Linked DNA regions of Mus musculus: regions 1, 3 and 4 are each reported to be linked to region 2. Evidence: microRNA targets listed by miRTarBase, many of them from high-throughput screens and not tested one by one. Region 2 holds a microRNA gene; each other region holds the end of a gene's coding sequence. Distances are between the middles of the regions.

Evidence for each region. Region 2 holds the annotated microRNA mmu-miR-30e-5p (UGUAAACAUCCUUGACUGGAAG, at 3,133-3,154, shown strand). A microRNA usually pairs through its seed, bases 2 to 8, with sites in the 3' UTR of a target mRNA and lowers its output. Matches are read on the target gene's strand: a 7mer-m8 pairs with bases 2 to 8, a 7mer-A1 pairs with bases 2 to 7 and ends in A, and an 8mer does both.
Region 1: miRTarBase lists Grb10 as a target of mmu-miR-30e-5p. Seed matches in the 3' UTR shown: 7mer-m8 at 5,406-5,412 and 7mer-A1 at 3,775-3,781.
Region 3: miRTarBase lists Hsdl2 as a target of mmu-miR-30e-5p. Seed matches in the 3' UTR shown: 8mer at 5,653-5,660.
Region 4: the mRNA of Mt1 is a reported target of mmu-miR-30e-5p. Seed matches in the 3' UTR shown: 7mer-m8 at 1,269-1,275.

Annotation. Positions count from the first base shown.
Region 1 is chr11:11,927,688-11,934,807 of GRCm38, forward strand. It overlaps Grb10 (growth factor receptor bound protein 10), which reads right to left. Exons shown (of 17, transcript NM_010345.4): 16 at 6,512-6,605; 17 at 2,812-5,922. The coding sequence ends at 5,776. Among named protein-coding and RNA genes, the nearest start is that of Ddc, 33 kb to the left of the region's middle.
Region 2 is chr4:120,768,694-120,775,813 of GRCm38, reverse strand. Mir30e (microRNA 30e) reads left to right here and starts at 3,117; the gene lies at 3,117-3,208. It overlaps Nfyc (nuclear transcription factor-Y gamma), which reads left to right. Exons shown (of 10, transcript NM_008692.4): 5 at 2,047-2,142; 6 at 6,915-7,088. It overlaps Mir30c-1 (microRNA 30c-1), which reads left to right and starts at 6,192; the gene lies at 6,192-6,280. Mir30f (microRNA 30f) reads right to left here and starts at 3,208; the gene lies at 3,117-3,208.
Region 3 is chr4:59,616,597-59,623,716 of GRCm38, reverse strand. It overlaps Hsdl2 (hydroxysteroid dehydrogenase like 2), which reads right to left. Exons shown (of 11, transcript NM_024255.3): 11 at 5,023-6,082. The coding sequence ends at 5,970. Among named protein-coding and RNA genes, the nearest start is that of E130308A19Rik, 6.1 kb to the left of the region's middle.
Region 4 is chr8:94,178,999-94,186,118 of GRCm38, forward strand. Mt1 (metallothionein 1) reads left to right here and starts at 91. Exons shown (of 3, transcript NM_013602.3): 1 at 91-340; 2 at 825-890; 3 at 1,104-1,329. The coding sequence starts at 313. The coding sequence ends at 1,195. Gm39228 (a long non-coding RNA gene) reads left to right here and starts at 4,421. Exons shown (of 2, transcript XR_001778759.1): 1 at 4,421-4,666; 2 at 5,792-5,984.

The DNA.
Region 1 (7,120 bases), not on the chromosome of region 2:
AGACTTTTTTTTTTTAATAGAACTTGGACTTTTACAGTGTTACAGACTTTATAAAGTTCTGCTTTGTTTTATTTTGTGATATTAACATGGATCCTTAGGGACAAACAAGAAAGGAAAGTTTATGGTTTAATAGTGATGAGGTTGTGTATCAAGGTGAAAAGAAAGTCAATTGGCTAATGTTTTGTCAACTTGATACAAAGTCATCCGAGAAGGAACTTCAAATTAAGAAAACGCCTCTGTCACACTGTAGGCCAGTCTGTGGGCTGTGTGGTGTCTTCTTGATTGATGCAGGCAGTGCCGTCTATGGGCAAGTGGTTCTGGCACAGGTAAGGATGCACACTGAGCGAGCTAGAAGTTAGACAGTGAGGAGGTCCTCCATGGCTTTTGAGTCAGTTCCTGCCTTGAGTTCCTGCCCTGGCTTCCCTTCCAAATGGACAACTGTAAAATGAAATAAACCCTTAACTCCCCGAGTTGACTTTGGTTATGGTGTTTTATCACCATAATAGAAAACACACTGAGACAAACCTGATAGTGTCCATGAAGCATTTTCCATCCTGTTCCCGATCTTTTTTTTTAAAGATTTATTTATTATGTTAGTATAGTACACTGTAGCTGTCTTTAGACACACCAGAAGAAGGAGTCAGATCTCATTATGGATGGTTGTGAGCCACCATGTGGTTGCTGGAATTTGAACTCAGGACCTTCAGAAGAGCAGTCAGTGCTCTTAACCGCTGAGTCATCTCACCAGCCCTGTTCCCAATCTTTAAGAGTGAGGTCTAAGTGCAAATGTACAAAGTCGTGTGATTGAATCTTCTACTTTAGTGTTTTCATGATCACTGAAAAGATAACCTTTGAAACAGAGTCTCAGATAGTCTAAGCTGGCTTCAGGCCTCTATTGCTAAGGTCAGTCTTGACAGAACTGTCCTCCTGCCTCTGCCGCCCAAGTGTTGGAATTAAAGGATTATAGTTATATGCACTGCTTGGCACAGAAGATATACTTTAACCACTTATGAAGCAGTGATATCAAGGTTCACATTGTGCTCAGAGCATTTTTTTCTTCTTCCCACATGTGCTGTTTTGTTTGGCTTCTGTTGGCCTATTTGGAGTGACCAAAGTACATTTGGAACTGTGGTCTGGCCATGCCATCACGGCCTTGGCTCTCACTATGACCTGTGAAGCAGTGCTGTGTCATGATGGGATGGAGGTGTGGTGCATCATTGCCCTGCCTCTGAGATTTGCTTGTTTTTGTGAGGGGACAGATTCACAGTGTGTGTGGTGTGCATGTCAAGGCCTGAAGTAGACATCGGTTGTCTTCTTTGGAGACCCTCTACTTAAATGTGCTGAAACTGTGCCTCTCACAGAACCCAAGGCTCACCAGTTCTGGCTAGTTTGGCTAGCCTGCTTGTCGTACAGACTGTTGCCTTACATGAGAGGACTGCAGAGCTGCCACACTTGCCTGACTTTTATTTAAGTTCTGGAGACCCAAACTCTGGTTCCCCATGCTGACACAGCAAGCATTTTGTCCACTGAATCATCTCCATAGTCTAGGGACTCCTGCTCTAAAACTACATGAACTAGTCTTCCAAACATTGCAGGTGACAGGGGTAGGTTGTGAAGGAGGCATGAAGACAGAGAGCCCTCCAGTGAGGGCTTATGATAGCAATGGCCAGCGTGTCCATTTTCTTAATTTGCCAATTCCTTTCAATAGTAGTATATTCTAGTTTGTGTGTATAAATGTTTTGTTCCCATATACGTGTGCCATTTATATGCCTGGTGCCCGAGATGACCAGAAAAGGGCATCTGATTTCCTGGAACTATAATTAACAGGTGGTTGTGAGTTGTCTTGTCAATGCTAGGACCAAACTAGAAGAGCAGCTGGTGCCCTTAATTGCTGAGCTGTCTTTATAAGACCCCTTAGTTTCTGATTTGGCAAGAATAGCCCAGATCCTTGATGTTTTAATACCTTGTCAAATGTGAAGGTCTGATTTTGGAGGCGTTTATTAAACTTCGTGGATATCTGATTCTCTGAAACCCTCCAAGTTCTGTGATTCCTTATGCATGCCTGTACATAGTCCTGGGTATAGAGGTGTCCATGAACAGAATGCTCCTGCTTGTGTGGAGGCCACCGGTTTAACCTTGGGTGTCATTCCCCAGGTGCTATCCACTTTGTTTTGTGAGACAGGTTCTTTGATTTGATTCAGAGCTTATCAATTAGGCTGGGTGCCAGAGAGCCCCGAGGTCAGGTTTTGTCCTTAGCACTGGGATTATGAGTGTGTGCTACCACTGGTTTCCCTGGGGGCTCTGGCTTTTTTCCCCTTTCTTTTCTTTCTTTCTCTTTCTTTCTTTCTTTCTTTCTTTCTTTCTTTCTTTCTTTCTTTCTTTCTTTCTTTCTTTCTTTCTTTCTTTCTTTCTTTCTTTCTTCCTTCCTTCCTTCCTTCCTTCCTTCCTTCCTTTCTTTCTCCAAGACAGATTTCTACTCAAAGTCAGAGATCTGCCTGCCTCTGCCACCTGAGTGCTGGGGTTAAAAGCATGTGCCACCACTACCCGGTTGTAACACATATCTTTATCTTGTGTTGCAAGCATTTTACCATCTGAGCCATCTCTCTCCAGCCCAGGCCTGTGATTCTTGGCCAAGGTTGTCTTGGCATAACTGAACTGGCTCCACACCTTGTCTAATTTCCACAGGTACTGGGGATCTGAAATCTGTTTCTCCTGTGCTCGCAGCAGGCAGGCACTCCTACCCTCTGAACTTACCCGCCCCAAGCCCAGTTTATAGATATCGGCGCAAGCATTAAAAAAAAAACACGACAGGACACCAAGAACGCTTTATTAATGTTTATTTCTAATAACAAGAAACAGAACATCAGTCCCTTATTTGTACAAAAATACCTGAAAGTTTACAATTAGGTTCACGAGCCAAAGAGCTATATAGCACAAGGTGAAGCAAAGCACGCGGGATAAAGGTTTTGTCTATTAGTTAACACCCTCTGCATTCCCTGAAAACGGTTACATGTCAGGTCATTTTACCGGTCACTGCAGTTTGCACTATGACATCACAAATCTACGATGAGCTAGAAGCGCCCTCGGAGGCACAGCGATCGAACAGGCTGTCAGGTATTTAAGTGCAGAAAGGGGAAGACAAAACATCTAAGCTGAGGCACATATTTCTTCAAAGTTTAAGCAAACAATAAAAGAAAAAAGAAAACACGTTTGGAAACTCTTAACACCTAATAATAGAACAGAGTCTACCTATTAAAACCCTAAAAACCCAAAGCATTTGGCAGTTTCCTTCTCAACTTAGTCCAGGTGGTTACACGGAGTCGTCATTTAGAAAAGAAAATCACAGGCAGAGATTACAAAGTCAAACAGGCTCCAAAACAACCCTGAGCTGTCCCCTTTACATTCATGTCAATTAAATACAAAAATAAAAGTCAATTGTCCTTCAGTCTCTGATTAGGGGGGCTGGGAACCCGCTAACCTAGGGACCAGCTGTTTCAGGTGGAATTCCCAGCTGCCTGTGCAAAGGGCTGGCGATCTCGGGGCCACTGAAGTCTGCTACACTCAAGGTGGGTGGGTTGCAGCCTTCAACAATTCACTTCGGCAAGGGAAGTACAAAGTTCTACGTCAAACCAGCTACGTACGAAATTGTGAACCAGAGTCAAGCCTATACTTCCTCTTAAATAAAATGCATACTTATAAATATGAGATCCACATCCTAGTTGTCTACTGTTGAGACGAAAGAGAAATGGATTCTGCACTGTGGGGACCGGTCTGTGTAAACTGGAAAAAGAAACCCTAGGGTTGTTTGTTGTCTGTAAAAGTTCTGACCTTAAGTCAGCAAAAAGAAATGAGCACGGTAAAACTGAAATGTCTGTTATCTGTCTGTAAGGGGAAGATCAGTGGGAGCCTGCTGCCAGGTATGAACTTGAGAATTCTCTCATTGTCAACTTAACGATTAACTAGTTTCGAAAGAAAGAGAAATGCATTTGAGCACTTATGCATAAAAAATGGTTAACTAAAAAAAAGTCAAAAAAGATTAAAATGAAAAAAAAGGAAAAAAATTCTTCATTTGTTGTAATAACATCTCGTGGAAACACGGTTGCATGGTCTGTGAACTACAGTGTTTCTCTACTGTGGGCCAGCTTGCCACTGGCCTGCTTTACAAAGCGCTGTCATATCTATCTTCCACTATGCTGTCAACCATGGCAAATCAGAAGTGGCTCCCTGGGGAGCACTTCAATGAGTCGGGACAGGCAATCTAGTGGCTAACTCAGGTATGTAGCAGACTTTCTGGGTGGTATCAAGAAAGGGAAATGTGTTCACCACCGTTGTTGTCTGTGTGTTTCTCAAGGCAATCCTGTCTGCTACTCTCATGCCTGATAAATCATCAAGGGGACAACAGAGGGTCCTTCATGGAGCTCAGGGGACCCAATGATAACTCCGGCCACCTTCTGACTCCTCTCTCTCTCTGACTCCTCTCTCTCGGAGGAGGCAAACATCATGCTCCTAAAATCTGTCCAATGTTCACATCCATTGTGAGGTACTTCTCACCCTAAGCCAGCAGAGGCAAAGCCTCTGCATACCCTGCTCCTGCTGGCTTAGGGGGTTTTCAGTAGGGTGCAGAGGCCATCAAGCTTTCAAAGACTCAAAGCCAGCTTATGCTTGTGCCTCTGCAGCGTTTCCTTCTCTTTATCACCATAGATGCTCAGAGTGACAGAGCACAAGGCCAACAAGTTGGCGTTTTTTTCTCTTTCGATCCTTTAACCCCACCCCTACCCCACCCCTGTGGGAGAAGTGAAATGACTGAGGGTACTGCAGAGGGTAAAGGCAGCGATTATTCTACAACAGTGGGCGGCTGTGAAAATGGGAGGCACAGGGCACCCCAGATGGACTGTGTGGCATCCACAATGAATAGCAATGTGTTCCAAGAAGGCTGGCTGACATCAGTCTGAAGCTGAGGTCATGCAGCTGTGCTGTGCTGGGGAACAGTGAGTTTTCCAAAGTAATGAGGTCTCCAGCACCGTGGAGAACGAGACACACTAATAATACATGACCAGACGTCAGCACAACAACAACGATGACCAGACTGTGGCAGCTTGACTGCGTCCACAAAACATGCTAGGTGTCAACTGCGGTTGTCACCTTTTATCTTATTATTTTATTTAAAAAAAAAAAAAAAGCTTTTCAAGTATAATGGGAAGGACTGGAGCCAAACCCACACTGCCGCAACCTGCAGAGAGCAGGATGTTATCTAGAAAACTTGGGGGACCCATTTGTAGGCTAAAGCCTGCCAATTCAAAAATTCTTTGTCTGATCTGAGTTGCAAAGCCACATCCTCTCCTACCATAGGCTGAGTACAACATCGACAACGAAGAAGGAGTGCAAAAAAGTGATCAATACAAAAAGTAAACATCGCGGTTTGAATTGTCAAGGTTATTCCAGGGCAAGAGTTCATTTCCAATCATTTTTCTGCGGTTTTCACCCTACGTGGCCTAATCAAAATCGTCATTCCAGTTTCTTCCCACACTTGCACTGGATCTCTTCCCTCCCCCAATTTTAAATGGCTGACGCAGAGGGAGGTGGTCCTGTTTGATCCACAGCGGCAAATCTTTGTGAAGTCCAATAACTAATTGATGTAGGTCGGTTGGTACCGATCAAAAAGCCATGTTGTTCTGAGTCCTTGGGTGGGAGTAGGTGTGTGTTCTCACCCTCATGCAGATCTCTCTTCTCCGTTCCAGTGTCGCTGCCTCCAGCCTCTGTGAGTGGGCAAGGAGGTCATAAGGCCACGCGGATGCAGTGGTGTTTCAGCTTGCAGGGCAGAACACCTTTGTTGAGCTGGTAGAAGTCGACCAGCTGGATCAGATCGGAGAACTTGGTGTTCCCATCATCCAGAGTGAAGAAGGTCTGCCCATCATCCTCGCACTGTGGGGACACAGAAAACATTTGCCATGTTAGACAGTGTGACCTTGGGGGACAACCTGTGGCCCTGCAGGCAGGGAGAGTCAGACTATATCGGCCAGTCTCATAATTTCCATGCTTTTAAAAAGGAAAGCAAAGGGGATGAGAAAGGTGTTCTCTAATGGCACAGTGGAATGGACCAAGGGTAGAACTGTTTCGTGATCCAATGACCAAGTAGGCAGAAGAACATAAGCTCCCCTTGGGAGCCACTTAGCCATCAGCAAGTTCCTTTTAGAATTCTGAGAATTCTGAGCAGCCACGAGACATATCTACTCAGGTCAGACCATTCCTGTGCTGAAAAGAGCCAATGTCAAATCTGCTGTAAGAGTCCAGGAGACCTAGATATTCCTACCTAGCTAGCTACACATAAGCTGAGGTCTCAGGGCAACAGCAGCCTCAGCAACATTCCCTCTTGGAGTCTCTTGAGAACTGCTTCCCCAGACTTGAGGCCATTGGTGCTTATCTATAAGCTTATGTTTAAATTGAAAACTGCACTAGAAACAGAACCAGGGGACTCGGAAGGGCGGGCTGATTTGAAGGCATCGGTACTTACAGGTAAGATCTGGAAGTTTTTAATCTTCTGGTGATGGCACAGTGTCAGTACGAACGCCTTTGGATTACTCTGGCTGTCACGAAGGAGGAACAGCCTGGGGAGTGGAAAACCAGCAATTTATAATTGATTCCTTTTAAAATCTAAAATGAATTGTCTATATATGAGCATCCATGTATGCATGTGTACACCAGCTGGAAGTGACTGAGAAAAATGGGCTTGCAGCCATGATACTTTGGTGTTCTGGCACATGAGTGCTAGTACCTGAGTGACTTTCAGTGGCTACAGGGGATGCAGCACCCAGAAAGTAGTCTAGAATGTCATCCAACATTGAAAGGAACCTGGGCCCTGAGAATATGGCTGATTCTGGTGAGGCAGGGAAACAATAAAGATGGAACTGAAATGTTCTGTGTTCTCTAATGTCAGAATGTCAGAAAGTGTTCAAGGATTGACAGGGAATTGCCAAAATTATCCAACAAGAGAAGCTTTTCCCTAGAGAAGATGCTGAGCACACAAGGGAGGAGTGGAAGACTAGATAGAAAGTGTCTATCTGGGGATAGAAGCATGAAAAGAAACAGTATTTCCCAGTGCCTTACTCTTGATATTTACTCT
Region 2 (7,120 bases):
TCAGTAAAATATTAAGGAAGGCACAATAAAGTGGGAGTGATAGTGTACACCTTTAATCCCAGCATTCCTGAGACACAAGGAACTCTGAGTTTGAGGCCAGCCTGGTCTACAGAGTGAGTTCCAGGACAGCCAGGGCTACACAGAGAAACCCTGTCTCAAAACAAAACGAAACATCAAACTAACAGATACATACTTGGGAAGTGAAAGCAGGTTCTGGAGTACAAGGTCATCCTTGGCATATTCTCTCTCTCTCTTCTTCTCCCTCTCCCCCTCCCCCCCCCCAAATTCAGGGCTAACCTGAGCTATAAGAAGGGTAGAAAAGATCAATTTAAGTGAATTGAAATGTTTGCCTTTGTGTGTGTTTGGAGGTACTTTATTTTTTTCCTTCATTTCATTCTTAGGGAGCTGTTTAGTTAGCATGAATAGGTGTCATTATCAAGAAGGCTATACTAGTGTGTTCATCTTAGATGAGTTCTGGCAGACTGTAAGATAATGCCCTTCTTCGTTAGGAGGGTTTATTATGAAGTTGGTAGTTGGCAAGAAGGGTGGATTGGAGATTTGCATTTCAGTGGCTTGGGACCATGACAGATACTAGGGAAGGAAAAAACAGAACATTTCCATGACTCCTTTTGGCCCTTTGCTTCAGATGTGGGATCGAGAGGTTGCTGAGGAGTTTTTGAGTTTGTTTGCTTTTCCTTGTTATGCTATTGTCAAGGATTTATAGTACGTACCTGTTTAGTTTTTCCCCAAATTCTGCTGTTAAAGTTTTACTTTAGCAGGCCACAGGATAACTAACCAGGGCTATACAGAGAAACCATGTCTTGAAAAACAAACAAATTGGGCTGGTGAGATGGCTCAGCAGTTAAGAGCACTGACTGCTCTTCTGGATGTTGAGTTCAAATCCCAACAACCACATGGTGGCTCACAACCATCCATAATGAGAAACAGATAATAATACTTTTAAAAAACAAAAAACAAAAACAACAAAAAAACCTATGGACTGGAGTGAGTGGGTCCCGGGAGCAAGTGGGGCCCAGGAGCAAGAGGAAGAAGGGAAGGGGGGAAATGAATGAATGAATGAATGAATGAATGAATAAATAAATAAAGTAAGAAAAACAAATTTATCATACCTCTCACTTCAGCCATAAAGTGATCTATTTTTAAATACATTTCAAAAATTACTTTCCCATATATACTTAACTATATCACTCACTTGAGCTTAGTGGTTTTGTTTTTGTTTTTTTAACCTTAAAACTTTCAATAAAGTACACAAATCATATGGGAGAAAAAGTGTTGATTTTTATTATTCAAAGGAAGGGGAATAATATCAGACTTGAAGAGAAAGTCCACTTGTGACATTCTTTTCAGCTCTGTGTTCACTACCTACCTATAGTAAATTCAGGCTTGAGTATTCAGGCTCAAATTCGGATTAAACTATTCATTAAGCAGTGCAGTTTTGATTTCTAAACTAAAACCCATAGGTAACATAAAAATCAAGCGACTGGATTATAAGTGCCTGTAAAAAGAAAAACAACAACAACAACAACAAACAGTGCTTAGGGCCTTTAAAAAGATCATACAAGTGAATGATGGGCTGACCTTGTGGACCACAGAATGCCAGTTGAGACTGCTGGCTTTGTCCTGAATTAGCCAGAGGATGGTGGTTTTACAACTTTATGGAAGCTTTGAAACCAGAACAAGCAGAAATAGTGGTGAGTAGGGCTCAGATGTCCTGGCCTAGAGCACGAGATATGTGTATCTCTTTCGTTGATTTCTGTCCAGCAAGTCTGATATAAATTGAGCTGTTCTTATTTTTAGCTCTAGACAAACCTAGAGATTTTTAGTACAGTCTAAAAGTCATCTCCTTGGGCTGGGGCATAGCTCAATGGTAGAATACCTGTCTAGCTTGTGTAAAGCTCTAGGTTTAATCCCAGACACTGGGACTAGGGGATAGGAGAGGATCATGTCCTTTTACTTGAAGGATAACAGCCAAAAGAACTAGATTCTTCCTAGGCCAGTTTTTAACTTTGTTTTTCTTTGTTACAGAGGAATGATATTGCCATGGCAATTACAAAATTTGATCAGTTCGACTTTCTCATCGATATTGTTCCAAGAGATGAACTGAAACCTCCAAAGCGCCAGGTGAGCTGGGAGGATTTGCTCAGCTGCCACCTCCAGGGCCTGGGCAAGATGCTCTCCGGAGCTCCTCCCTCCCTCCCACCCAAAGCATTTCTTGTTTGTGGTTCTCTTCCGTAGTCCAGATCATCCTCAGCATCTCCTTCTACTCATTTATGGGTACTTTTAACTCAGTGCCTCTGGGGTGGGGTTGCAGTGAGAGAACAAAGTTAAAAAGACTAGTCACAGATAGTGGGGTGAAGCTCAGTTCAGGATTTCTTCATCTAAAATAAAAGCTTTTTCAGCCAGTCAGTTTTCAGATTCTAAGAAACAACCTCTTTGTGCATAGTGATCAGATTGGAGCCAGTGGCTTTTATTTTCTTACTCTATGCTGTGTCTCTGTAGTGTGATGACTCTACCCATCATCCACTGAGTCAGAACCTATGACCCCATGACCCCAGGAATCAATAATTAAAGTTCCCTAGATGCTTTGGTGTCCAGTGAAGTTTTAGAACCACCATTTACATTTTTCTTTTTAATTACAAGAACTAAGTGTCTGCCCTTCTTCTGCCTGTTCATCTCCAAAGATCACACCATTTGTTTTGTTCAGCACTTGGGTGCATATAACTTAGTTGTGATTGTGATAGACCCCAGTCCTATAGAGCTCATTGTTTCAGGCACGCAGTTTGCATGATTCACTAGGTTTAGTGTAATATGCCTCAGAGAAGTAAAGCCATACCATGTCCTGCTTGTTTTATTTTTGTTCATAAAATATAAGTGTTTTTAACTAATTATTTTGTAGTATACTGTTTAGAGTCATTTAATGACAACCATTCTCCCCATGTTGACCTGTACAAATAACCAGTCAGAAAACCTGTTGGAGAAGTGGGCATCCTAATTGACATTAATTCTGACCCTGCATGAGGGTTTTTGGGTTAGCAAGCCCTGGGTCACCTCCTTATGGGAGCAGGTTGTGCCTCACTGAAGCTCTTTATTTTTCTGGGCAGTCTTTGCTACTGTAAACATCCTTGACTGGAAGCTGTAAGGTGTTGAGAGGAGCTTTCAGTCGGATGTTTACAGCGGCAGGCTGCCACAGTCGTCCCCGGCTGCGCTCATCGGCTTTGAGACATTGCAGGTTTGTGCCCATGAACTTGTCTCCTTTTCTTGGGTTACTTCCTTTCTCTCTGAGAAGTCACAAGAACTCAGACTGTCTCTCTTCGTTTGGAGCTGATAATACCATGAGCCTGTTTTCCTTATTGGATTTTTGCTCCCATGTATCCACCAGGAGTTTCCTTTAAAGACAAGGTGGTAAGATCTGTGATGCAGTCAGGCATTGCTCTTATTGTACTGATTGTTCACTATGGGCTGCCTGCTGAATAGATGACTAAAGAGAAAGTTATTATCCTATACCAGTGGTTCTCAGCCTTCCTAATGCTGCACCATTTAATACAGTTCCTCATGTTGTAATAACCTCCCAACAATAAAATTTTTTTCATTGCTATTTCATAACTGTAATTTGCTACTGTTATGAATTTTAATGCAACTATCTGTTTTTCAGTAGTCTTAGGTGATCCATGTGAAAGGATCTTTCCATCCCACAAAGGGGTCACAACCCACAGGTTGAGAGCTGCTGACCTATACCTTCCTCCAAAGTTGTTTGTTCTTCTGGGTCTGTCAGGGTGTTAGATTTGCTGGTGGTCTACCCCATCTCCCTCTTTTGTTCTTTGGTTTGGTTTGGATTTTTGAGATAGGCTCTCCCTGTGTATCCCTGGCTAGACTAGACTGTGTAGACCAGGTTGTTCTGGAACTCGGAGAGATCTATCTGCTTCTGCCTCCTGAGTGCTGGGATTCAAGGCATGGACCACTATACTTAGTCCATCTCCCTTTAAAAGGTATACAGCAAGAACACTCCTTTAGCTGCCTGGTTTTAGTTCTTTGTAGGTGTTTGAGCTATTGATTGGCATCCTATTCAGGACAGCTGCTGCCTGGCATTTAAAAGGTTGAGATTGCTGAAAGCTGGCCTGAAATTCTAAGATAGCATTTTTTAATTCTCTGTAGACATGAAGTTTTCCCAAGCTCCAAATTGGCTGGCACCTCCTAAAGTCCTTTAAAAGTGCCTACTCTCCAAAACACACCCTCTGAAGGAGGCAGCAGTTCACCCTGCCACTAAAGCAAATGTATTTTTTCCCCTAGTCTGGAGCTGGCTGCTCATCAGTGTAGTGATGACCCTGTGCTGTGATACTGTTTGTTCACTGTCACTGTTTTTCAGTCTCAGCACTGGAGAAGCCACTGTTAGTGTGGAGCAGGTACCCTTCTGTACTGAGTGTTAGCATGGAGCAGGTACCTTTCTGTACTGACCTATTCGGTCAGGTGTTTTCCTAGGGCTTGGTGCTGATCCATCTGGAAAGGGAGACACTGGATTATGAGGCTTCTCAGAGATGATTTGGAGTCTCCCTCTCTCTTTTTTGCCATGGAAGTAAGTAGATTGTCTGCAAGTAGATGGTAGTTGAGGGTTGACTTCTCCCCGACTAAGCTATGAGTTGAAAGTTCCTTGCTCATTGAAATGTCATTATCTTTTCACCCATTTCTTTAAATCAAGCATCATCATTTCCTGCTGGCTTGATCTCCATTTGCAGAATGAGTGCTTCATAAAGCAGAAGAACCTTACTTGTGCCTCCTTCCATCACAGCAATTTGAAAATAGCCATGCTTGTCCTGACAACAGTGTTCTAGAAACTGTCTAAGTCATTATTACCTGAGAGGATGCAGTAGAAAACATGGGAGAGGCTACCTGCCTGCCTGAGAGCTTTTGCTAAAGCACTATTTTGGGTTCTGGCAGAAGTATTTAAAGAATTTGCTTTTTATCTTGGAAAAACAAAACAAAACCCTTGTTCAGTGTTGTAATTATGGACACCTAGAGCTGATCACAGGTCAAAGGCAGGAAGGGACCGTGTCCCCAGCTGCTCTGTGTTCTCAGTTCTTAATACTCTCATAAGCTAAGAGTGTTTCCACTGTTAAGTCCGGCCTTCCTATTTCTAAAATAGGAAGGGGAGATCTCAGTGAGGGGAAAAATAGACACTGAACTTATTTCCACAGCTTTGGAAAGAGCAGTTGACCTCAGTTTTGTGGTCTAAAGGAGTATTGGTATGTATCCCTGCCAAGACATGGTTGCCAGCTGACTTTTGCTTAAAATGGAAAAGAAACCAAAATTGAAATGGACCTGGCTTTGACTTGAAGTTGAGAAAATAAAAGGAGCTCTATATATATATTTTTTTTACCTCTGCTGAAGGTTGAGGACTGAAACTGTGGGTTTGAAGCATAGACTACATTATCGCAGAAGGTCAGCTTATGCTTAAAGACTTGCTTGGATAACCAGAACGTTAGGAACAGTTTTGTGTTCTGGGTTGATGACCATTGGGGAACCTTGTTATGTTGCGATTGAAATGTCTCAGAGGCTAGTTATTCATGATCCCAGTTACAGGATTAACAGGCAGGCACTTAGCCTGGTACTACAAGGACAACTTTTCCCACACACTTGGTCACAGATCTGAGGTACTCTTTTGTAGAGTTATTGGTTATAGCTGTTCAGTTTAGAAGAATTAATACTGCAGTCAGTATGCATTCAGAAAAGTACTTCTCTCTCTCCAGCTTTCTCTTTGTCTGATAAGTAGACTCATCAGTCAGGTAGTATATACCAGTACCTGTATGGAACTACCAGGGACAGTAGCTAGCAAGCAAGCAAGTGAGAGGCAGTAGTACTTACATCTGAGCAGAACTGACAGTTTGTCATGCAAGTACAAAATCTTGCAATAAGTGTCCATGACAGTGTCATGGAAGTGCACTTTAGAGAGCATTGAGCAGGTGAGAAGGTCTCAGTACCTTGAGAAGTATCTCGTTTTTGAAACCTGACAGGGAAAGCTCTGAATAAGGAAGTGAATAAAATTAGCTAATATTCTTACTCAGCCCATGTGGTCGAATATATTTGTTGTCCTGGACGGGGACACTATGTGTCACAGGTCACTCGGGATGAGACGCTGATCTCTAGGTGGTCAGAGACCTACCAACCCCTGGGCTGTAACCATGTTGTAGTGTGTGTAAACATCCTACACTCTCAGCTGTGAGCTCAAGGTGGCTGGGAGAGGGTTGTTTACTCCTTCTGCCATGGAAAACGTCAGCTGAAGAACAATCTCTTCACCCGACAGATCGGACAGAATGCTGCCTCCCTAGTCAGCCAAAGCAGCGCCCCAGCGGAGAGCTATCATCAGGTCCCCTGGGTTGCACTTCTGTGGCTAAGTACAACTAGACTTAGATGCTCTGCTGGGGTAGACACATCAGTGATGAACATAGAGCTCTCAGTGTGTTGTGAAAAAAAAGCTGGAAAAGCCTAGGAAAAGCTGTTTCCTCTCTCCCTGATAGATCCCTTCTGGGACTTGGGGATATTAAGTTTGGGTAGCATCTTCCATCGCAGGCTTTGACAGAATCTACTGACAAGCTCTGCTGGTGCATGGTTGTTGCTTATGGTAATTATTTGCCTGTTTGCAACTCATCACACAATGGATGATTACTCGGGACTTCAGAAAATTGGCTGTATGTTCTGTGAAGCCTATAGAAACTGTTATTTTTAGTTTGATTTAGCACAACTGGTCTCCAAATTCCACTTCTCCTTTGACTGCAAATGTGGAGAGCTCAGCATTCGGCAGGCAACTGCACATAGCCTGTTTCAGGGAAGAGTGGAAATTCACTGTGGCGGTTGCTGAGTCGGTTTTTTTCCCCTTACCTGCTTCTCCTTCCACCCCACAGGAGGAGGTACGCCAGTCTGTGACTCCTGCGGAGCCTGTCCAGTACTACTTCACGCTGGCTCAGCAGCCCACTGCTGTCCAGGTCCAGGGACAGCAGCAAGGCCAGCAGACCACCAGTTCTACGACCACCATCCAGCCTGGACAGATCATCATTGCACAGCCTCAGCAGGGTCAGGTCTGTGAGTGGCAGGGAGTACCCACCTAGTA
Region 3 (7,120 bases), 61 Mb from region 2:
TCAGCTCCTGCCTCCGGATTCCTGCCCTGTGTGAGTTCCTGTCCTGACTTCCTTTAATAATAAACTGTGATGTGGAAATATAAGCCAAATTTAAGTGCCTTACTCCCCATCTTGCTTTTGGTGTTTCATCACAGCAGTAGTAACTCTAAATAAGACACTACTGGAAAGAGTTATTAAATAGAAAGGTGGTCCTGGTTAAACACCTCAGTGCCTCAACTGAGGCTGTTGATGAACCAGATTGTCTTGAGCAAAATCAGATTAAATTGGTTCCACCAGGGCCTACAACTAAGCCTTGAACTACTTCCATCCCTGGCTGGTGAAGTTCCAATATTCTGTCTGCGAAAAATAAATCTTTGGTGGAGGAGCTTTTAAAAATAAAATTTAATACGTAGTATCTGGCATCACATATGATAAGAAAAAAAATCCAAAATGAAAAAGACGACAGTCCAAACATATAAATATGTCCCAGATGTCCTGGTCAATAGACCCTTAGAATAGCTGTGATTAATATGATCAAGTCATACATGACAGAATGGAGGATTTTAGTATACATTAGGATTTTAAAATAACCAAATAGAGCCCACTGGGGACATATAAACCAAGACCACAATAGGGTAGTTTGAATATGCTTGGCCCAAAGAGAGGCACTATTTGAAGATGTGGCCTTGTTGGGGTAGGTTTGTCACTGTGGGTTTTAATACCTTAGTCCTAGCTGCCTGGAAGCCAGTCTTCTCTTAGCAACCTTCAGCTGAAGATGTAGAACTCTCAGATCCTCCTGTTCCATGCCTGCCAGGGCTGCTATGTCCCTACCTTGATGATGATGGACTGAACCTCTGAACCTGTAAGCCAGCCCCAATTAAATGTTATCCTTATAAGAGTTACCATGATCATGGTGTCTATTCACAGTGATAAAACCCTAACTAAGACAAAAGTTGGTACCAGGAGTGGGGTAGTGCTCTTATAGGCCTGATTATGCCTTTGTTTGGCAGAATGTGGATTTGGGAACTTTGAATTTGGAAAGCAGTGGAATCCTTTAAGTGGGGCTTAACAGGCTATCCTAGTAGGAATATGGAAGACTTTGTTGCTGAGAGTGATTTAAACTGGGCAGACAAGGCAATGAAGTTTCAGTGAAGAATTTCAGTATGTGGAATAGAGACTGTTTTTCTAGTATTTTGGCGAAGAATGTGACTGCTTTCTGCCATTGGCCAAAGAGTCTGCCTGAGACTAAGGTGAAGAGATTTAGATTAACTACTTTGAAAAAGGAAGCCTCAAAACAGCTTGTTATAAATTCTGTCACAAGATTACTAAAGTTCACTCTTATGAAGAACATTTTAATGAAAAGGAGCAAGCTGAGAAAGGAAAAATACATATGGTTTAAGTATTAAAGGGACACTAGGAAGTAGAAAGGAGCTGACTCCTATGTTCTAGAAGATAACAGATTAAGGGAGTAGGACTTTGGGGCATGATCCCACCCAGCTAAAATTAGGTTCAGGCAGGGTTGTACACAACTTTAATTTCAGGAAACAAAGCCAAGCAAATCTCTGAATTCAAGGTCAGTTTGGGACAGAGCAAGTTCTAGGTGAAGAAAAGCTTAAGTACACGCCTTTAATCCTAGCATTCAGGAGACAAAGCCATGCAGATCTCTGAGTTCAAGGACAATCTACAGAGCAAGTTCTCTGACAGCCAAGTTTAGGCAGTGAAGGAGTTGGAAAACTGAAAGCTGGCAATAGAATAAGGGGGGGGGGTGTATTCCAGCCCCAGCAAGCAGCAGAACCTGGCAGCTTCAGACATGTGGCCCTGGCTTTAGAGTTCAGAATAGAAGGGACTACTGGGACAATTGGTGCTGGTTAGCTGGAGCTAAGAAAGCAGTGATTAAGAAGAGAGGTGACATTTCACTGAGGTGAAATCTTTTGGGAAGTATTTTCTGAGATCACAAAAAAAGCTGTGCCCCAGAGGTAGCCAAGGCTGTACCTCATGCTGCAGTTGGACTTGGTAATGTGTAAGAGTCACCCAGGTGGTACTGGTTTTGAAGGTATGAAAGGGGTCATAAAGAGCTACTGAGGCTTGGCACTGTGAGAGGCCAGGGAAGGCCACTGGAGAAGGTGCAGCTTCAATTGTAATTGATGGCCCAGGACTGAAGAAGTCATGCAAAGCATGAAGAGAGCCTCTGAGAGGCTATTGGTAAAGCCTAGTTGCAGGAGAAGACCCCAGAGTAGTGGAGATGCCAGTACTATAGGATGACCACCAAGAACAGCAGCAGTGGTGGGGTAGAGCCAACCAGAGCCTATAGTGCTACAAGAGTGCTGGAGATGTGACCCAAGTCCTTTGGAGGATCCCAGAAGATCGTGTGTGAATCCCAGACATTGGAACAAGAAGCTGTAACACTGAAGTTGCCTTGGAGATCCCAAGATGTTGGATGACAGAGCTGTGGTGTATCTGCTGAGGAAAGCTGCTATCAGGAAGTAGAAATAGCCCAGGAGAGAGAACTTTGTTCTAGTCAACAAAGATGAAAAAGAAGTGGAGATTTGAAGACTGCTTTGACATCAGACATAAAGATGCAGAGTTTGCCTAGCTGTATTGCTTTTGGGATTACTGATAAGTGATTGGATGGATCTCAAAAGACTTTGAAATCTGGACTTTTAACGTTGTTGAGACTTCTATAGATTATGGGGACTTTGGAAGTTAAACTAAATGTACTTTTTTATTATGCTATGGCTAGATATGGTCCCCATAACTTCATGTGTTTGAACAAGCCTATGGGGGCCAGGGAGTGGAATGTGGTAATTTGAATATGCTTGGGTCAAGGAGTGGCACTATTTGGAGGTGTGTCCTTGTTGGGGTAGGTATGCCACTATGGACATGGTGTTAATACCTTAGTCCTAGCTGTCTGGAAGCCAGTATTCTGCTAGTATCCTTCAAAAGAAGATGTAGAACTCTCAAATCCTCCTGCACCATGCCTGCCTGTACGCTGCCATGCTCCCACCTTGATGATAATGGACTGAACCTTTGAACATGCAAGGTAGCCCAAATTAAATGTTTTTTTTATAAGAGTTGCCTTGGCCATGGTGTCTGTTCACAGCAGTAAATCCCTAAGACAGATGGCAAGTGTGCATCCACTAAGATGAATATGACAAAGGCAGGAAACACTCTCTGATAAGGATGTGGGTAGGAGAACTCTACTTTGATGCTAATGGGATTGAAGGGTGCTATGCACTTTTGAAATGGCAATTCTGCCAAAGGTTAAAATTACAACACTGCAGAACTTCTAGGTATATAACCAAGAGAAATAAAAATATATCAGCACAAATAATTTAAACGTTCACAGGCAGCATTATTCATAATAGCCCCACTTGAAAAGCTCAAATGTCCATCAATCTGTATAATTTAGTTGACAGTACAGGAATTAAGTAATGTTCGTTGTGATTTTGTTGTGGGTTTTTTTTGTTTGTTTGTTTGTTTTGACTATAATCCAAAATAGTGACTTTCTAGAGCAATGACCAAAAGTTAGATTCAGGATCCAAAATGAATAAAGCACGAACTTATTCTTCTCAGATCTCAAGAAGATTGGAGGTGCTGACAGGAGGCTAACACATCTGGAGAGAGCAGGACAGTCAGCTAGTGCGCAAGAAAGAAGCAGAAAGAGATGAAATTGGGGCTTAGTGGTGAAAGCTCTTATTGTTCTTGCAAAAGACCTAGGATTGGGCTAGTGAGATGGCTCAGCGGTTAAGAGCACTGACTGCTCTTCCAAAGGTCCTGAGTTCAAAACCCAGCAACCACATGGTGGCTTACAACCATCTGTAATGAGACCTGACACCCTCTTCTGATGTGTCTAAAAACAACTACAGTGTACATATGATAATAAATAAATCTTTTATAAAAAAAAGACCTAGGATTCGTTCCAGCACCCACATGGTGACTCACAACCATCTGTAACTTGTTTCAGGAACCTGATGCCCTCTTCTGACCTCCATGGGTACCAAGAACACACATGGTACACATATATACAGCACTCCTAAACATAAAATTAAATAATTTTAAAAAAGAAATCTTTGGTACCGTGTTTGTCCATTAGGTCCATTGACAGGTTACAGATTGGGTGGGTTTTGAAAACATTGGCAAAGAGATTTTTTTCCCCAAGACTCTATGATGGTGTTTTATTAGGTTTGTTGTTTTTGTTTTAACTGTGGTTAGTAGCTGTCAAGTATGTTTGGTTTGAGTCATGGGTATAAAAAACAAGTGGACTATATCTTTAACCACTATAGCAGAATTTTAGCAGGGCCATTATACGTGGCATGAATTCCTGTTTGAGAAGGAAAGGGTTGAGTCAGCCAAAGGTGACAGGGCAAAACGGATTTCAAGTAACTTACATTAAGCCCCCAAATGCATGTTTGATGCAAATGTATCAAACAAAATTTTATGTCTATATGGCATGAATAAACCTGGAGAATATTACACCAAGTGAAGGAAGCCTATTAGGAAAGTGATGAAGTGTGACTCTCCACATAAGTCCAGAACAGGCAAGTCAGGAGCAAGAGGGGGTTGCATAGGACTGAAATCTTTTGTTGATGGGGGACATATACTAAAGTGCATGTCTGGGGAAGGGAGATAAAACATTCTGATCGGGGCCTGCAAGATGGCTCAGAATGTGAAGGCTTGATGAACTTAGTTCAATCCTGAGAACCCACATGGTGGAAGGTGAGAACTCACTCCCCACAAGTGGTTCCCTGACTACACACAGGATACAAAAGAAAGAAGGGATGGAGGGAGAGGAAAAGGTAAATTTTTTAAAGGTTCTATTTCATTGGGATGATGGTTGCTTAATTCTGGGGGGGGGGGGCATTGAGTGAATAAATTATATAGTGATTTATGTATTAAATAAAATTGATTTTGTTTTGTATAGTTTGATATTTGAGACAGGTCTTCCTTTATTCCTCAGGTTAGGGAATCCATTATTACCATTAGTATTCACCATTATATTGGTGGGTCAGTGCAATATGACGAGAAAAAGAAATAAAAGGCACATAGAATGGAAAAAAGATAAATTCATCTTTATTTGAAGATAACACGATTTAAAGAATCTGTTTTTAAGAAGCTGCTAAAGGTAATGAGTAGATCTGACTACTGTAGGGCATAAGGCATACTCACAAAATTAATTATATTTCTATATGTTAGTACTTGAAAGCTCAATAAAGCCAGGCATTGTGTCTCATGTCTATAATAATAGCACTAAGAAAACTGAGGCAGGAGGACTGACCCCAGTTTAAGGCCAGTTGGGTTAACCCATTTGGAAAAAAAAGAAAAGCTGAAAATTTTAAGATATCTAGAATAGTATCAATAGTATAAATGCTTATAATAAGTTAAACAAGATTTCGCCTGCAAGTATTATGCACTGAAGTTCATAAAACACAGCCAGGCAAAATAAAAGTCCTTAAAAAAAAAAAAACCGCCAGGTGGTGGTGGAGCACACCTTCAGTCAAAGCACTCAGGAGGCAGGGGCAGGCAGACCTCTGTGAGTTCGTGCCCAGCCTAGTCTACAGGGTGAGTCCCAAGCCAGTCAGGGTTACAGAAAGAAATGATACTGCAGTTCTTCACCCAACCCTCATGCAACTGTCTTTGTGGAGATAAAGTAGCTTCATTTTACATAAGAAGTTTTGTAAACAGCTAATTTTATTGCTTGATACCAATTGGTTGTTCATGATACATACTTTTCTGCAAGAAAGCAATGAATGAAATAAAGGCATAGAGAGGAAAACTTGGAAAAACCACAATATATTAGGATGTCACTTAATTAAACTTGTATGTGATTGGTTAGTTGTTTTAGTTACAGTTTCAAATCTTATAGATACAGAAATTCTACTTCTTTCTAGAACAAACTTATATGTCCTTACATGACAGTGGGGGAGACAACAGATTTCTAACTGCTGAGCTTTTTACTTCTGAGGAGAGTCAACATTGTTACTTCTTGTCCTTCATAGTCTAGAATTCATCTGGGTCATTAGCTTCTCCAATTTGATTGCTAGGGCTATGTTTCCTTTAATCTTCAACTTTCCTGACATAAATGCCATGGTTGGCTTTAATTTCCCTAAAACGAAAAATAAAGACAGTGAAAGCATTAGTGACCTAAGGAATATGCTACTTGAAGAACATGCATTCTAGGAAGAATTCCCAGAGTCACATAAATTCCAGAGCACAGAGACGTCTACACAGCACTTCATATTACTATCTAGGGAATCTCACTTCCTGACTTAGATGTCAACAATACCTTACAATACAAAAGATAACATGAGAAACAGTCAGCAGAGCCAGGTGTGGTGGCGCACGCCTTTAATCCCAGCACTCGGGAGGCAGAGGCAGGTAGATTTCTGAGTTTGAGGCCAGCCTGGTCTACAAAGTGAGTTCCAGGACAGCCAGGGCTATACAGAGAAATCCTGTCTTGAAAAAAACAAAAAACAAAACAAAACAAAAAAACCAAAAGAAACAGTCAGCAGACGGTAATGGCAAGAAGCTAAAGATGCTACATTTATACATATGCTGGTTACAGTACTAAAGAAATAGCCCCCAATAAATTCTGGTGGACAAATACTATGTTATTTAATTTCCAATCTGTTATAGTTCATTAACTCTTTAACTATTTCAAGTTTAAATTCAAGAAATCAAATGGTGTAAAATGCACAAAATATTTACAAATGATTATTAAGCTGGGCATGGCAGCATACATCTTGTAACCAACCCCAGCACTTGGGGGCTGAGTCAGGAGGATCATAAGTTCAAAGCCAGCCTGAGTTTAACAGTGACATTGTGTCAAGACAAACAACTAAGATCATTAAGTATATAGTAGTTAGGAGCTGGGGAGATGGCTCAGTGGTAAAGTACTTGCTGCACAAGTGTTAGGACCTTAGTGCAAATCCAGCCCAAGAAAAGCTGGGCACTACAGTGCACATCTGCAATTCTAGTGGTCCTACTTTGAGATGGGAAGCAGAGACAGCTTTCCACAGAAGCTTGTGGAAATTAGCATGGCATATACAGTAAGGAACAACAAAGACACCCTGTCTAAAGCTGGAAGGTGAGGAATGATACCCAAGGCTGTCTCTGACAACTAAGCATGCACAGTGGTACCTGA
Region 4 (7,120 bases), not on the chromosome of region 2:
ATGATGTTCCACACGTCACATGGGTCGTCCTATCCGAGCCAGTCGTGCCAAAGGGGCGGTCCCGCTGTGCACACTGGCGCTCCAGGGAGCTCTGCACTCCGCCCGAAAAGTGCGCTCGGCTCTGCCAAGGACGCGGGGCGCGTGACTATGCGTGGGCTGGAGCAACCGCCTGCTGGGTGCAAACCCTTTGCGCCCGGACTCGTCCAACGACTATAAAGAGGGCAGGCTGTCCTCTAAGCGTCACCACGACTTCAACGTCCTGAGTACCTTCTCCTCACTTACTCCGTAGCTCCAGCTTCACCAGATCTCGGAATGGACCCCAACTGCTCCTGCTCCACCGGTAAGACTCCCGATCCTTGGTCTTTAGAATACCAAGTTGGGACCGCAGAGCGGAATCCCCGAGTTGTAGAGGCTTGGCGGGAATAGGCACCTTTAGTTGGCGATTCATTCCGGTTCTTTCTAGAATCCGCTCTTGCAAAAGCCTTCATTAGTTACGAGTATTGTCGAACGGGTCCTTTGGCGGGGTTGGGGCTAGGATTTAGACGCGCAAATGTCCGGTTCCTGATCACCCAGTTAGTGGGGACATCTGGGTTGAGTCCCAGGCATTACTAAACTTACTGTGAATTGCTTGAATTAAGAAAGAGGTGAAGGACCTTTATGTCTTGGGACTCAAAGACATAATCCCTGACTTAACCTGTGAGGAGAAAAGTGGGGCTAGGCTCCCTGCAGCTCCGAGGAGGACTTAGTGAACTGAGCCGGGACTCGTGGTGTTGGCCACTGCTGTAATGCTGCCTCCCTCATGCTGTCTTCTTTCTCCTCCCCAGGCGGCTCCTGCACTTGCACCAGCTCCTGCGCCTGCAAGAACTGCAAGTGCACCTCCTGCAAGAAGAGTGAGTTGGGACACCTTGGGTGGCGGCTAAGGCTAGGGGCGGGGAACTCCTACAAAACTGGCTCTGAGAAATGTCCTTTGCTTCCCGGAGGCCATTGTATTGTCTCGGGGACAGAACTATACAGAGAACTATTTAAAAAAACCGAGGTCTTCTCTGTTGGGGACAGGAAGCAGAGGTCTTCAGCCAGGCTGACCTCTTCCTCCTCCTTTCTAGGCTGCTGCTCCTGCTGTCCCGTGGGCTGCTCCAAATGTGCCCAGGGCTGTGTCTGCAAAGGCGCCGCGGACAAGTGCACGTGCTGTGCCTGATGTGACGAACAGCGCTGCCACCACGTGTAAATAGTATCGGACCAACCCAGCGTCTTCCTATACAGTTCCACCCTGTTTACTAAACCCCCGTTTTCTACCGAGTACGTGAATAATAAAAGCCTGTTTGAGTCTAACTCTGGTTTTCTTGGTGTGGTTTGGCAATAAGAAACTGGGGTGACTTGATAGTCTGGGGATCTGGTTTTGGACCCCCTCGTGCCTTTACCTCCCGCCTCTGGCCCTCACAGAGGGGTAATGTCTTTGGGTAAAGCCAAGCTATCCCATAAGCTTCCTCATGGAAAACAGCTGTGTGCCTGGTCAGGTCTTGTGTTAGGGGAAGGGAGGGAGGGAGGGTGGTCCTGGAAGACTTGATGTCCCATCCTGGAAGCACAGAAAATCTTATCATTTATATTCTCTTTGGATTCTGGTTTCCTCTCACATTGTTGGGTATAAGGAGGTGGGTATGAAAATTAACATAGGGTGTCTCGTATGCTAGGCAGGGACTAACACTGAACTAGATTCCAGAGGGGCTTTCTTGGCTGTTTTGACACAAGTTGCTTACCTTGTCCTAGAACTCATTCTGCAGTCCAGTCTGACCTTGAGTTTTTGATTCTCCTGCCTCAGCTTCCCAAGTACCTGGGATTACAGGAGTGACTGTGTCACCAGGCCATCTCCTATTCAGCCACCAAATGCAGACACTATTGCATATGCCATCAAGATTTTGCTGAAAGGACCCTGATAAAGCTGTCTCCTGTGAGGCTTTGCCAGTGCCCAGCAAACACAGAAGTGGATGCTCACAGTCAGCTATTGGATGGAACACAGGGCCCCCAATGGAGGAGCTAGAGAAAGTACCCAAGGAGCTAAAGGGATCTGCAACCCTATAGGTGGAACAGCAATCTGAACTAACCAGTACCCCCTGAACTCGTGTATCTAGCTTCGTATGTAGCAGAAGATGGCCTAGTTGGCCATCACTGGGAAGAGAGGACCCTTGGTCTAGCAAACTATATGCCCCAGTTCAGGGGAAAGCCAGGGCCAAGAAGTGGGAGTGAGTGGGTAGGGGAGCGGGGTGGGGGTAGGGGTGGGGTATAGGGGACTTTTGGGATAGCATTTGAAATATAAACGAAGAAAATATCCAAAAAAAAAAAGATGGAAAAAAAAGTGATAAAGAGCGTGGGTCCTGCCTGTAATCAAGATATTTGAGATGTAGCAGCAGGAAGGCCAGGAATTCAAGGCTAGGTATTAAGTTTTTTTTTTTTTTTTAAAGATTTATTTATTTATTATATGTAAGTACACTGTAGCTGTCTTCAGACACTCCAGAAGAGGGAGTCAGATCTTGTTACGGATGGTTGTGAGCCACCATGTGGTTGCTGGGATTTGAACTCCTGACCTTCGGAAGAGCAGTCGGGTGCTCTTACCCACTGAGCCATCTCACCAGCCCCAGGTATTAAGTTTTAGAGGGTAGCCTGGGCTACATGTGACCTTATGTCAAAAATAAGTGTCGCCGGGCGTGGTGGCACACTCCTTTAATCCCAGCACTTAGGAAGCAGAGGCAGGCAGATTTCTTGAGTTCGAGGCCAGCCAAGACTACACAGAGGAAACCCTGTCTCGGAAAAAAAAAAAGTGTCACAGAGTATGACAACTCCCAGATGTTTGGTCCCCAGATGTTCTACATACTTTGATTTTTAATTTGTGTGTATATGTGCCTGCCCATGCACACACACACACACACACACACACACACACAAGTGTTTGTGGTGAACGTGGAGGCCTGAGATCTTCATTACATCCCACCTTACTTTGTGAGAAGTGATCTTTTTTTTTTTTAAGATTTATTTATTTATTTATCATATGTAAGTACCCTGTAGCTGTCTTCTGACACTCCAGAAGAGGGAGTCAGACCTCATTACAGATGGTTGTGAACCACCATGTGGTTGCTGAGATTTGGACTCAGGACCTTCTGAAGAGTAGTCAGTGCTCTTGCCCACTGAGCCATCTCTCTAGCCCGTGAGACGTGATCTTTAGCAGGACTTAGAACTGTATTTCTGCTAGACTGGATGTCTAGCAAACCCTGGAGATCCACCTCTGTCCGCTCAGCACTGGGCTTAGATTTGGACTGCCCCTCCGGGCTAGTTATGTAGGTGCTAAGAATCCACACTACAGTGAGCCTCAATGGTGGGCAGCAAGCACTCTAAGGATAGACCCTAACCCCTTACTGCTTTTATTTTCTACACACCTTACACCTGATGCATTTTCTAGGCACCTTAAACACCCCTGCAGGGAACGCCCTCAGCACTCAGCTCAGCCACACCCAACAATGTGACATTGGAGTAAATGATACTATTTGTACGAAGGAAAAAAAAAAAGCTCAGAGAACACAAAGTACACTTTTTTGAAGATTCGACAGAAGACAAATATATGAACTCAGGGGGAAATTGATTAACCTCTGCACACAGCTGCTCACTGCAGTGTCCCGTGTGCACACACCTGCAGCTGCGCTGGCCCAGACATCCCGAAGGAAGTCAGTGATGGCCCCGATGGCCCCTGTGCACACCATATCCCGCCTTGGGAGGGCCTCCACTGTTGTGGCTTAGGTGACAGTTTCTTGCAAAGTCAGGATGAATTTGCTCTTTCAAATTCCAGTACTGTGACCAGGGATTGAGGACCTTTCCCACGTTTGTAGTCTTCCAACTTTAAATGAAGTACTTTGTGTCAAAAACTGCCCAGTGGACTAGGGAGGGTTCACTGGCTATGGAGAGCCTAGGATAGTTTTAGGCCAAAACCCGCACCTATTTGTATAAACAATGGAAAGCAGAGACAAAGTCCCGTGTCTGTCCTCTTTCTAGGTACAAGGGAAGGAGGTGGAGACAAAGACTGGCAATGTCACAGAAGCGACACCTACACACACTAACCTTACTCTCACTTTGACGGGAAGAGCAAGGTGACTACCATAGTGAAGAGTTGAGGGTGGGAAACAGCCAGGACTAGGTTCTTGGAACTTTAATAGGGAGGAATGACCGGCAAACTTGCTAGAACTGGCCAAAAAAAAAAAAATCAGGGTGATTGCAAGCAGCGTAGAGCTGAGCGCAAAACCCCGCCTCCTGCGGGCCGCCCAGTGGCGGGCGCAGAAGAAACGCCCCCTGCTGGGTGCACCCTCTGCACGCGGAGACTGCTCCTGGTGGGAAGCTTGCGCTCAGCTCTGCTACACTTGGTAGAACTAAGGCAAGGACGAGTGCGCTGGTGCTGCGAAGAGGGCGGGGCTATTGCACACAGCCCAGAACCCACTTAGAAGCTGCCAGTCTTCTATCCTATTACCTATTAAGCCTCCCGGGGTGCGGGGGGTTCAACCTCTTCAAATTGTTCAGGGAGCGGAAGTGTACATTTCTGCACAACCCAGCCAGCGGCAAGCCAGCTGAGAGTCATGGGTGCAAAGTGTTGGCAGGACCTTTGCACGCAGAGTGGGGCTTTAACTATAAAGTGAGCAGCAGCAGGCAGGTTCCTTGGTTTCTGTGTGCCTCTCAGAAGCCTAGCTGATTTTTTGTTCATTTCTTTGAACCTCAAGTCATTTGCAGTGGAAATGGCCCCCAGCTGCTCCTCTGCTCCTGTGTCCCTCATAAAGGATTTCAGAGCACACGTTTTTTTCTGAAATAAAAAGTATTAGCTCGGAACACCCCCAAGACTAAGGTCTCAGCACCGACATGGTGAAGTTATTTGGCCCAGAGGGCCAGAGGGCAGGGAATATGGGACAAAGACGGGAGATAGAGGACTAGAGAGAAAGGGAAGGGGGACAGATTGGGGTGGGCAGGAATATTTGTCCTGGAGAAACAGAATACTGTCTCTGGGTCGAGAGGAGGCAGACTTGGCACACAGGAAAGTGGTGATTTATATACCACCAAGGGGAAACTCTGTGTTAGGAGGGGGTGTTTAATTTTAACTGGGCGTGTTAATTAGGTGAGCCAAAGGGGGCTTTTGATTGCCGCACTTCAACACTTTGATAGCTGGACCTTGGTAGTCAGCCTCGGGAGGAGGGATTGGCCACATAAGAGAACAGACCTTGGTGGTGAGCTTTAGGAATGTGATCTCACAGTTTTTTCAGCAAGACAGAGGGAATGGGGGAGAAGGGCAGGCCTGCTAGACGCATGCTTGCCACACCTGGCCAGAGTTGTTTTCATTTCTGGATGAAGTGGACTCCTTACTGCACACTGCTGGTTCTCTTTCTAAGGAGCCCTTTGCTAGTTTGTCCGTCCCCCCACCCCACCCCCACCTCAGCAGCTTCACCGCACCTCGGAAGTTACTAAGTTTCAGCTCCTCCTTCTCTCAAGGTTCTCATTTCAAGGCAGAAAGAACTGGGCGGTAACCTGTTGCGTCCGTGCACTGGCCGCTCTGGAGCGCCTCACTTTTTCTTTCCTGTGGGAAGAACATCTGAGAGTGACTGTACTTCCCAGCAGTAGGGTGGAGTAGCCCCATGGCATGCTTCTGTGTGCCGCACAGGACAGGGGGGTGAATGGCGGGCCCAGACATGCACCGCAATGCTGCCCTCAGGGACCCTGCCCTGGCTCTTGCCTGTGTCTCTAGCTCACTGCTTCTCTTTCCTTCCCACAGGTGGCTCCTGCAGCTGCGAAGGCTGTAAGTGTGCCTCCAGCCAAAGACAAAGGTCTTCAGGGGTTAAAGGATAGCCAATGTCCCCAGAGTTGCACACCCAGAGCCAGCTGTGGCTTCCCTCTCAAGCTCAGCCTCCACCCCCAGATCTTCTTTGGCTGGAGCGGGACAATTAAATTTGATGACTTCATTCTGATCTGGTTTTCTTTTTTTTCTTTTTTTTCTTTTTTTTGATTTATTTATTTCTTTATTATATGTAAGTACACTGTAGCTGTCTTCAGACACACCAGAAGAGGGAGTCAGAGCTCGTTACGGATGGTTGTGAGCCACCATGTGGTTGCCGGGATTTGAACTCAGGACCTTCAGAAGAGCAGTCGGGTGCTCTTACCTGTTGAACCATCTCACCAGCCTCTGATCTGGTTTTCTGTGTGTGGCCTGGGATAAAGGACTGAGATGAGGGATTGAACATAAACACAGAGACCTTGACTGTGGACTCAAATGTTGTAGGCCCACCCCTACACAAACTACACAGGTAAGGCATATTGGGGCTTTGTGTGTTGGTGGGGAGACAGACCTGTTCCGTCCATCCTCCATGAGCATGTTCACACTGCAGTGATCTCTAGCTCCTACTTTCAAGCTCTGACTCCCTCTCTCTCTTCTTTTGTTTTTATTTTTGTTTGTTTACTTTAAAAAAAAGATTTATTTATTGATTATAAATATTATATATTATTCAGACACTCCAGAAGTCAGATCTTGTTACGGATGGTTGTGAGCCACCATGTGGTTGCTGGGATTTGAACTCTGGACCTTCGGAAGAGCAGTCGGGTGCTCTTACGCACTGAGCCATCTCACCAGCCCGTTTGTTTATTTTTTGAGACAGGATTTCTCTATGTAGCTCTGGCTATCCTGGACTCAATTAGACCAGGCTGGCCTCGAACTCACAGAGATCCCTCTGCCTCTGCCTCCCGTTAGGATTAAAGGCGTGCACCATCACGCCCGGCTGAGCTGATTCTCTTACCCTGCTTTGGTTCTCACCAGGTTATAGACATGGAAATTGTGGTTAGAAAAAAAAAATGTTCCCCGAGGGTGTGCATTGCACACACCTTCTCCAAGATGAGGGCCCCACACTGTGAGCAGCAGTAGGTCAGACATCCACACAGGGAGATACCAATGTGTAGGAATCCTGAAAGGACACTAGACAGTCAGGAAGAGCTCCGGGTCGTGACTAGCACCTTTTCTGTGGGAGTGCCTCCTCGAGTCAGGATGAATTTGCCCCTTCAGAGTCTAGGTCTTGATCATTAAGTCGTCCAAGATTTGGAGGCAATTGCCCAA